Coturnix japonica: one gene and its partners. The protein of the gene in region 2 interacts with the protein of the main gene of each other region in a pairwise test. Links are inferred from orthologs where the notes say so. Each region holds a gene or a part of one and is shown on either strand. Other genes may lie near its edges. The genes, in order: CUL3, ABTB1 and EEF1A2.

What was found.
Region 1: the proteins of ABTB1 (region 2) and CUL3 interact in binary tests that used the Homo sapiens proteins (3 or more experiments, as listed by UniProt). The two-hybrid records come from large-scale screens. The link is inferred for Coturnix japonica from reciprocal best matches to the Homo sapiens genes ABTB1 and CUL3.
Region 3: the proteins of ABTB1 (region 2) and EEF1A2 interact in binary tests that used the Homo sapiens proteins (3 or more experiments, as listed by UniProt). The two-hybrid records come from large-scale screens. The link is inferred for Coturnix japonica from reciprocal best matches to the Homo sapiens genes ABTB1 and EEF1A2.

Annotation. Positions count from the first base shown.
Region 1 is NC_029524.1:6,974,366-6,978,019, forward strand, and holds part of CUL3 (cullin-3), read right to left. Parts: intron 3,149-3,654; coding exon 3,003-3,148; intron 1,232-3,002; coding exon 1,055-1,231; intron 195-1,054; coding exon 24-194; intron 1-23. UniProt on the Homo sapiens protein: Core component of multiple cullin-RING-based BCR (BTB-CUL3-RBX1) E3 ubiquitin-protein ligase complexes which mediate the ubiquitination and subsequent proteasomal degradation of target proteins.
Region 2 is NC_029527.1:7,315,362-7,319,015, forward strand, and holds part of ABTB1 (ankyrin repeat and BTB/POZ domain-containing protein 1), read right to left. Parts: intron 3,262-3,654; coding exon 3,117-3,261; intron 1,830-3,116; coding exon 1,670-1,829; intron 726-1,669; coding exon 680-725; intron 1-679. UniProt on the Homo sapiens protein: May act as a mediator of the PTEN growth-suppressive signaling pathway. May play a role in developmental processes.
Region 3 is NC_029535.1:8,081,693-8,084,687, forward strand, and holds the end of EEF1A2 (elongation factor 1-alpha 2), read right to left. Parts: intron 2,288-2,995; coding exon 2,031-2,287; intron 1,483-2,030; coding exon 1,248-1,482; intron 901-1,247; coding exon 773-900; 3' UTR 551-772; downstream 1-550. UniProt on the Homo sapiens protein: Translation elongation factor that catalyzes the GTP-dependent binding of aminoacyl-tRNA (aa-tRNA) to the A-site of ribosomes during the elongation phase of protein synthesis.

The DNA of each region.
Region 1 (3,654 bases), on a different chromosome or scaffold from region 2:
AAAGTACACAGATATTGTCTTACCTTTAATTTAGATATCATATTTTTCTCAGAGTCATCTGAAACACTCTTGTTTGTAAGAAGTCTTCTTGCCAAGTGCTGCTTATAATACCGCTCAAAAACATCTTTCTCCTGCATAAACCTAAATAAAACCATTGCCTTATCCAAGATAGTTTCTACTTCTTGCTCTGTTAGCTGTGGAAGAAATAATAAGACTGGTTTTAGTCTTCCAGGATGAATGTCATATATAAGCTGCATACTTTAAGCAATTCACAGCAAGTATATGGTGTAAGAGTGGCCTAGAAGGAAAATAACAAAACTGCTCTGCCATATGAACAACAGAGCCCAAAGAACAGTCCACAAATCCAGAAAAAGGGAGAAAATAACCATCAAAAAATGTAGGAAGAAGCAACGGTGAGGGAGACAGGAGCAACAACTGGTTAAAACTCCTGATAAAACAGTGAAATTTTCCTGATGACCATACATATTGAAGCATTAAAAAAAAAGAACTGCAAAGAAGCACAACTACAAGCCAGCATCAGCAACTAAAGCTGGACATGGAAAGTCAGCTTAGAACTAAGATTTTTACATTTTTAGACTGATTTTGCAAAGCCTGTCTTGTGCCACAAAAAATACAATGATTACTTATCTTTATAAACAATAGGAATTGCTTATTTGACTGGCTAACCAAGTGAATTACTTTGCAAGAGAATCATTAAGTATTGGGAATAACTACTGAACTGTAAATATACTTAAGGAACTGATCAGGCTTCCAAAAAAGAGAACTGCAGAACTTAATACAATCTAATTTCATTTCCAAGAGAGCGAGATGGAGGTCAAGCTACACATCCTGAGATATCCTTGTGCACTTTATATAAGTTTAGCCCTAAAGTGCAACGGGCTCAGGTGTGTGTTACAGCTTCTTTCTTTGTTGGAAAAAGGCAATGGTGCTATTTACCTTCATATAAAAATCATTCTCAGAAAATCACCTTTGTTTCATCTGATCCAAATTTGCACAGAAAACAGTACGACCTTTTAATTTAATTTATACTTACTCCCTTGACTCCTTTTTTCAGCTTATCATCAATAAATAATGAGAGGTACTCTGGAGACCTAGAGTTGAGGTTGAGGAAATATTCAAAGTCACCCGCAATAGTCTGTTTGAAGAGTCGGTCATTGTTGAAAGATTCTTGGAGAAAGCGGTCAAACCTACTCTTCAAATCCAGTAAACCCTTAAAAAAAAGTACAAACATTTTTACTGATTTGAAACTTTAAGTTGTGAAAACAGAAGTAACAAATGATGTAAAGCACACCACCTGAACAACCCGGTGTTGAACAGGAGAAGCTGTTAGTACCTTAAATCACAATAGGATTTCAACATCCCTTCCATTATTTCAAGGAGTTTTAAATTCAACCCCCTGGAAATGCTTTTGCAATCATGTCACCAATGATGCTGAGGGTTTGGCAATGTCACATTGCAGAAGCAGTACTGAACTATGGAGACTTTTTCTTGATAGTACAATGTATCTTCCCTGTCTATCTTCTTACTGGTATTAAAGTTCTTGAAAGCTTCAGGTTAGCATGACTAAAAGGATTAAGTTGGTTTCTCTACTCATTTTTCTTTTCTTCTATCAAGTTAATGGGAGAATAAATATTTTTAGAGGTTTAGCATTAATCAAATATCGATTCCTTCTTAGAACATCTTCATGAGATACTGGGGGCAAATACTAATTGGGCTGTGGATGACAAAGCACATGCAACATGGCCGTAAGCCTTCTTCAGCTTCACCAGGTACTCAACTTTGTAGCAAGATATATTGATAGCATCTTTATAATTAAATATTTAACTTTTCCCCAGCTTTTAAGTCTCTTAAGATACTCCCCTTGGGTCAAACAGAATTCTAAAAGAGTGAAAATTACTTCAGACACCTATTTTACATATTACTTGCTTTTTTTGTTTTGTTTTGTTTTTAATAAATCGCACTACCACAAAAACACAACAGCCCAGAATCTTTATAGGTAAGGAAGTTCATACAGTATTTTCTTCTTTTTAACAATCACTGGGGAATCATTCATGTCCAAATTAGCTAAGAAGTTTGCTTCAGCACTGCCAGACAACTAGCAGTTTGAACAAAAATGTTTCTATACTCAAATGGCTTTTTGTAATAGTAACCAGTTCTAGTAAATTTATTGTTTTCCAACAAAGTATCAGAGATAATAGATACACAACATTAAATGCTTCTTTTAAAGACCAGACAAAAGGACTGCAGCTACACATTTGTAAAAAATGAACATATTTAACAAACCCACATTTTGATACCAAGTGTAGAACATTTTCAGCTATCAGATGTTTACTTAAATTTCAATGAACTCTGGAAGAAATTAGAGCTATATTCTCAGAGACGATGGGAGGAAAGAAAAGATGGCAAAACTCCTGAAGCACATTTTATGGTCTTGGTAAATTAATGCTAAACAACATCTTAGCGAAATGGAGAACAACAAAACACCTCCTAATACACATAAATGTTACACCTCTCAGGGAGACCAAGAATGAAGCTAGTAATTAAACTGTGAGCGAGAGGTGAATGTTGTAAACCATAAGAATCTTGCTATGAAATTCCATCCTGAACATCAATAGGCAACACTGCACAAAATTACATTAAACAGTTGCTAAGGAGCTTCTTAGGATAAAATTCAGTCTGGAGGTAAATACAATTTACAATTAACCAAAAAGTTTCAAGGTCTTATATAACTGGTTTGAATATTTTAATCAAGTAGATACCAAAAAACCACTAATTATGAGCTTGTACTTCCCAAGCCACTTAGGAGTTCTAAACATTTCCAAAATTAAAAATGTGCACATTTGAAATAGAAGTATAAAAGTAGTTTATTAATAAATAATTAACCCTTCTGAGTCAACGTTAAGAGGTTTCTCATATTAATCATGTTACTCTGGAGAATATGGGAAAGATGAAGGAAAGAAAGTTTTAAAATATTTAACTACCTGAATGTAGTCAACTGGATTCTTTCCTTCTCCCTCTTCAGAAACTAGAGCTTTGCCTTGCTCTCTCAGGTACGAGCTCATGCACTCACACATTGTCTTCAGACCGTTCGGCACACGACTAAACAACTTGTACATGCAAGCAAGGTCTGCAGAAAAGAATGAGATGATATGCATGATGCCCTCTGTAACTCATCCATTTCACAGCAAAAGACAACAAACAGCAGAAGAGTTCACTCATTCGAGAGACAAAAGCATCCTGTAACAGCTTAGGTACTGGATGGAAACTTTTGCCCCCTTTTCTTTACTTTCACCAAAATCCCTTTTATTTGTGCTATTATAAGAATGTATCTTCTAAGTCTACCATCCCAAAATCAAATATGATGTTAAAACAAATAAGACAATATGAATGAGATACTTTTATAAAGCAAAAAACAAACCCACAAAACCAGTAAAAACATGAGTTTAATTTGCATTTGTTTAGCTGAACTTAATTTATACTGTCTTAAAGGAATAACTGCATAAATTCTCACTACTTTGTTTCATATACCTAAAATCAGGAGAACTGACTTAGCTTAAAGATGGCTTTTGAAGAGGAAGCCTTGTACACCTCTTATGTAAAAAACTTCACAGCTATATTAAACCAATGCCTATA
Region 2 (3,654 bases):
GCAGTTTGGCATATGATTCACATTCCCATCTTCCAGTGTCTACCCTAACAGCTTCATTCAAGAAGATTTAACAGGTTTATTCAAAAGGGCTCCAAATTCTCTCAGAAAAATAAAAGACCACCACAACAGCAGTATGCGTGACTGCTACCATGGGTTTTCTAGCTTAGGGTGAGAAAAGACTTTAAGCCAATAAGCTGTCATCCCAGAATCTTTTACCATGACCGAAAACATGGTGAGGAACAGTTCTGAAAACACCAGACTGGAGGACAACCTTGAAGTTATTTTCTGGCACCACCTCCTGGCCTGAAGCAGTTCAGCACTCAACATGCCTACAACACAGCATCTGATTTCTTGATGGAAGTTTTACTGAAGTTTAACTTCTGCTCAGAAAAAATAATCAGCAAGTAATCAAATCATTCAGAGTGCACTGCTCAGATCTGTCAGACTGAAAATGTCTTGTACGGGAAGCTGGGCTTTCAATAGGCATGGAAACTGGAACAAAGTACAAACTTGGAAGAGCTGTGGATTGCTCGCATTCTTCTCTTTGCCAGCAGAAAGGATACGTTGGCTACTTGTGTATCCAAACGTGTCTGCAAGTCAGAGCCACCCAAACTGTGCTACGGCAGAGGGACAGACAGCAGCCACCCAGCCAAATATACACATACAGTAAATGATTTACCTGTGTATAGATATTGCAGCAGAGAGCCAAAGGCTGTGGGATTAATCTAAAACAAAATATAAGAACGTTACCTTGAGAATTACCAGGAATTTAATAACAAGCTTGAAACTTGAATGGATACAAACATGATCCTGCTCAGAAAAAAGCCACACACATACCACATCTAAATGGCACCTCAGACACAGCAGTCTGAACACCCAATTTCCTTGCTCCCTGCATAAGTAATGATGCCACTCCATCTGGTTTACACAGCTTTTCAAATATACTGGCTGCTACTGATCCATGTGCCCAGGAGACAGGACCAAACTAACAGAGGTGCTCCAAAGACAGTTTTACTGCAGACTCTGTAAAATCCAGTCTTTTACTGGTATCAAACATTTCCAGCTCTTCTTTTTAATTTGAAGTGCAGGCTGTTCTTACACAAAGAGAAAGGAGAGACGCTAAGTAATGCCCTGAGAAACTGGAAATATGTTTTCCACAAGAGGCTTTGCACTGCTGCAATTAAGCTATAGAAACATATGCCAGAGTATTGGTGATTAATGGATGGAATGCACTTAACAGCCTATTTAGTTCTTTCTGTAAATGCAACAAAAGGGACTCAATTAGTGCCAATTATGGAGGTGATGTCTTCACTACAGACCACCTGTCCACCAGGAATTAAGACAAATTCAACTCATCCCACAGAGGAGCTGTGACACAGCTGGCAGATGGTAACAGCTACCTGCTACTGCAATTAATTAAGCTATATCTGAGCCGATGATAGAGGGAACAAAGGCAAAGTATGCAGTCAACATGCCTTTTGTCATCTGAACAAGATGTTATTTTATGGAGAGAGTGCCTTCACAAGCCTTTCTCCTTACCTAGGGTCACACTGAGCTCCAAGAGCTACACAGTATGGAGATTAACCCTCAAATCATCCTTCCCATTCACTTTTCTCATACAGCCAAAATAAGAAAAGAAAGAAAAGGCAACAATAACAGCCATGCTCACCAGTGGGTGCTTCAGCGCTATCATGCTCTTTCCCTTCCACTTGGTCTCAAACATTTCTGAAAAGTAGGCACTGCGAGCACTGAGAATGCAGCGGTGGGCACAGAAGGATTTGCCATGAACAATGAAAACGATGTCACTTTGATAACCCTGCTCCAGCAACCTGCAGGGAACAAGAAGAGAGGAAAACTGTTGCAGAATTAAAAAGGAGAGAATGGAGCAAAGCTAGTGGGAGACATGGCACAACTGGGCTCTAAAAATGAACAACAGGTCACAGAGCGCAGGGGAAAAAAGGTTTAAAAGACTGCTTTGTCTAGATGCCTCTTATCTAATATGATGCACACGCTTTCACAAAAGAATTACCCCACCACCAGATAAGGTGCAATTTTCCTCCTCTCAGGCTGCTGTCAACGTGCATGCCCTAACCATGCAGCAAACAGGAAAGGACTTGAGATGACACACCCTTAGATGACGGAAGGATGTTACAACCACGCAGCACAGATTACCACATAAGAGATGAAGCCCTGTTTATGTTTGCACACCCATAACTTCCCTCATTATTTAAAAGGAGAAATACAAGATTGCTACTTAAAAGACTTCTGGCATCCATTATCAGTGTTTCCCGATACACATCACCTCTTGGGTTTCTGTTTTCACAAACATCAACAAAAGGTCAAATGAGGCAGAAGACAGGCATTATACTCCCTTTAGAGAGCAGGACTGATGTCCAGAAAGGTGTGGGATTATACAAGCAGCTGATATCAAAGCAGAGTCTTGAATGCTGACCTTAATTTTCTGCCACTAGAACATCCTTCCTACTAACGTCTTGCCCAAAACAAAACAGAAACAGTTGTGTTTATTTTTCACCCCCTACTGTTGTCTTTTGTATCAATCTTAATGCAAGGTCTGTTCAGAATGAGAAGTGGAAAACAGGACATTTTGGTTTTCATGTAAACAGAAAGAAAGAACAGAGCAACCTCCCTGTAAGAGAGCCTAAAGAAGTCCCAAATTGAGTATTGCAGAAATGAGACACCTCTTATCACTGCTGGAAACCTCAGTTTGTAGGTTTGTAGGCTGTTACTGCTTTAGGCCTGAAAATGAATTTTAGCTGATATTTATCCTAAATTGCTGCTGTGGTTTTAGTGATCTGATTTTAACAGTCAAGGATGACATTCTAACACTTCTGCATTACAAAGACCAGCTTTCCACTGTCTGTGGAGTTTGTACCTAGGTTAGTAGATGCTATATCTGAAATGTTTTGTGTATCTGGAAGTCAACCCTTAGTGCATGGAGGAATATCGCTTAGAAAGCCCTACATGCCCAGGAATACGATAGGGTTCTGATTAGCTGACTTTCAAATCACCATTTAACAGAGGGCTTGAATTTCTAAGTTAGCAGCTAAGGAAGGATGACAAAACGCATGGCAAACGGAGCTATTCCATCTGCTTACCGCTGCAGGAAGACATCATAGTAGTCTCTTTTCATGCACTTTGCTGTGATCTGCTTGTACTCCTTCAGCAGACGTCGGATGGCATCACTCAACGCCCCATACAAACAACGTTCCCCATCAAATGTGTTTGCTTCACATTTTGCGCCTACAAAATGGCAACAGGTGCATGTCAGCAGGCAGCTACATCTTCCACGTGTCTCTGAATGATCACTAAACAAGTGTGTTACTTGGCTGGTGACGTCTTTCTCTGTCACCTCTTATGCTACTCTGCTTTATTATGAAAATTCAACTCCCCCTACACTTGCATCACCTAATGCTGTTCTTCCACCACTTCATCCCTTTCTGAAGACACCGTGACTCATTTATGCTGATTTTTGTAATAAGTGTCTCAGCATGATTCCAGCAGTGTTCTGAAAAGAATCTCACTGGAGAGAGCATGACCACCTACTGGACTTTTAGCAGCTCCTCAAGAAGGCATTTCTGCCTCGTACAAGACACCTCCAGGTTAGACTCTGCTAGAAACTGGAAGGGCACTTGC
Region 3 (2,995 bases), on a different chromosome or scaffold from region 2:
CTCTGCCCTCTGCTTATGGCTTCTTTTGGGTGAGAAAGGCTTTTGGGGGATCTGCTGCAGGTGGGGGAAGGAAATCTTTGGACACTTCTCCCAACATTATTAAATAGTATAAAAGTGATATCGCTAGCTTTTCAAGGACGCATGGGGTTGCTGTTTTCTCCCTTTAAGTGGAATAACATTAAGGGGTTAACTCCAGCTTATTCAGAATGGAAAGTATAATAATTAAGGGCCCTGTTAATTGATATTAGAGAGTTGAGCAGGTTAAGGAGAATATCAAAACCTCCACTGCAAGAGCAGTCCCTGCTTTATGTCAATGAAATGAGCCCATAAACCTGGTGAGAGCCAGGGAATGGCTGGTGTTGGGTGCCCATGGATGCTCCCATCCCTGGCTATGGCCATCCCAACATCTCTCCCACACAGACCCCAAGAAACCAGCCCCTCTCAATGACACACACACACACAGAGCTCCACACCTTTGGGGTTGGTTGGTTTGGTTTGGTTGTTGTTGGTTGGTTTGTTTTGTTTGTTATTATTTTCTTTTTTCCCACTGTGGATGTTGTACCAGTTTTATTGGTAAAATTAACATGAAGCCTCACAAACGCTGGAACATGCTTTTCCTTTTAAAGAATTTCCACTGGACCTTAATGGTGAGCATCCAGTCGTTGACATATAAACTCTTACAAGCTGATGTGCACACATGCGCCGGGGGGAGACGGTGGCAGCGTCCTGGTGTCAGGGATGGTTTCTGCGCTACGCACTGGGAGCCCACAATTCATTTCCCAGCTTTCTGGGCCTTCTGGGCAGACTTGGTGACTTTGCCAGCCCCGCCACTCTTCTTCTCCACGTTCTTGATGACGCCCACAGCCACGGTCTGCCGCATGTCACGGACAGCAAAGCGGCCTGGGGAATGGAGGAGGATGTGAGTGACATGACTGTGCCAGCCCCTGAAAGGTTCTGATTCTTCCCCTGATCAGTTTTGTGTCAGGAAGCTGAGAAACACTCCTGCATAGCCACTGTTGGGTTGCAGTGATTCCCAGAGGGAAAACCCAGCCCAGGAGATAGCCTGTCTCACCCACCCTAACCCAGCTCATGCATCAGATTTTGCAGATGGAGCAGCAATGGAACACATTCACCTCCCTCTGCCCCCCATCTGATCAGTGGGAGGTTCAGTATGACCAGCGTGAGGTCTGCACCCAAGCAGCCTCCATGCTCTTCCATGGGACACAACGCAGGAGCCATTCCCTTACCAAGGGGTGGGTACTGGGAGAAGCTCTCCACACACATGGGTTTGCCAGGAATCATATCCACGATGGCAGCGTCTCCAGATTTCAGGAACTTGGGGCCATCCTCCAGCTTCTTGCCAGAGCGTCGGTCGATCTTCTCCTTCAGCTCAGCGAACTTGCAGGCGATGTGTGCGGTGTGGCAGTCGATGACAGGTGAGTATCCAGCACTGATCTGCCCAGGGTGGTTCAGGATGATCACCTATGGGACACAACAAGATCCAAAGGGACTCGGCTATGGTGTCTTGCATAGCTCGGTGCCAGCAAGGACCTGCAAGGTTTGGAAATCAATGCCATCTCCTGCTACACACACAGAGAAGAGCTAATTGGCTTTCATGGCAGAATCCTTCTTTTGTTTAAAGTGTTACTTAAGCTATTATTTATTTATTCAGCACCCAGAAGGACATGGGTGCAGGTACCTCACTGTGAGTTATTACCTAGTCCTGCTCTCCACCAGAGCCAGCTGCATTTGGGAGAGGGAGCAACCATTTTCACATGCACCAGTGTGCAAATTGCAAACCCAAGGCTTAAACCCCAGGCAACCTCTAGAATGTGCATCTTTCCCTGGTGGGTATTCTGCTCCCCTAGGTTTTATCTCCTCAGTGTCAGCTGTGCAAGGCTGTGAGCTGCTGGATGTTGGGGACAAAATGGAATGGAGTGGAGTGGAAGGGTATAGAGTAGAGTGGAATGGAATGGAGTGGAAGCAGAGCAAAAGTGGAATGGAACAGAATAGAACTCTAATCAGCTGACCTGAGACGTGAACTGTGCTGCCTCCTGCGGCGGGTCTGACTTGCTGTCCCCACAGACATTCCCACGGCGGATGTCCTTGACAGAGACATTCTTCACGTTGAAGCCAACGTTGTCTCCAGGCAGGGCCTCGCTCAGTGCCTCGTGGTGCATCTCCACCGACTTCACTTCAGTGGTGATGTTCACAGGTGCAAAGGTGACCACCATACCAGGTCGCAGGATGCCGGTCTCCACTCGGCCCACAGGAACTGTGCCAATTCCTGCAAGGACAAGGAGAGATCAGAGCAGAACGTCACCCACGAAGCATGTGATGGGCAGCAGGGCATCTCCAATGGCTTTCAATTGACTCATCATCCTCACTGCATGAGGGGACAGGATGGCTATTTGGATGAATGGGACATTCTACACCTTGTGTCAATGGGAGATTTGTGGAAAATGCACCTTTAGATCAAGGTGAAGAAGCATTATGAGAAAAAAACCTGGAAAAGAAGCTGGTGGGATCCATCCACTATTCCACACCAACTCTATTGCCTTCACTTCCACCCTTCCCATAGTGTCTCTGCTTCCTAAGGACCTGCCTAATCCCTTGGCAAAACCCTGTCTTTCCCCCAGCTGGGGTGGAGGAGGATGCAGAGCTGCCCACCATCCCTCATCTCTGTTGCAAACAAAAGCCTGCATTAAAATGCTTCCTAAAAGCAAGGGAGCAACACTCAACATGGCTGATTTCTGCAATGCACGTGTTCTTTGGAAAGTATGGAAAGGACTGGAAATGGCTCTGCAGGGCTGCCCAGTGCTGCCAGCAGGACAGAGAGCGAAGGGATATTTAAAGCCCTGAGACGTGCCCACGTCACTGTCCATGTTCCCTAAAAGGCTGGTCCCGTGGTGCAGCTGGGCACATGAAGGTGCTGCTGATGGACACCAGCATTTGGGAGCACCAATGACCACAACCAAGCAAAATCTCATTCCTG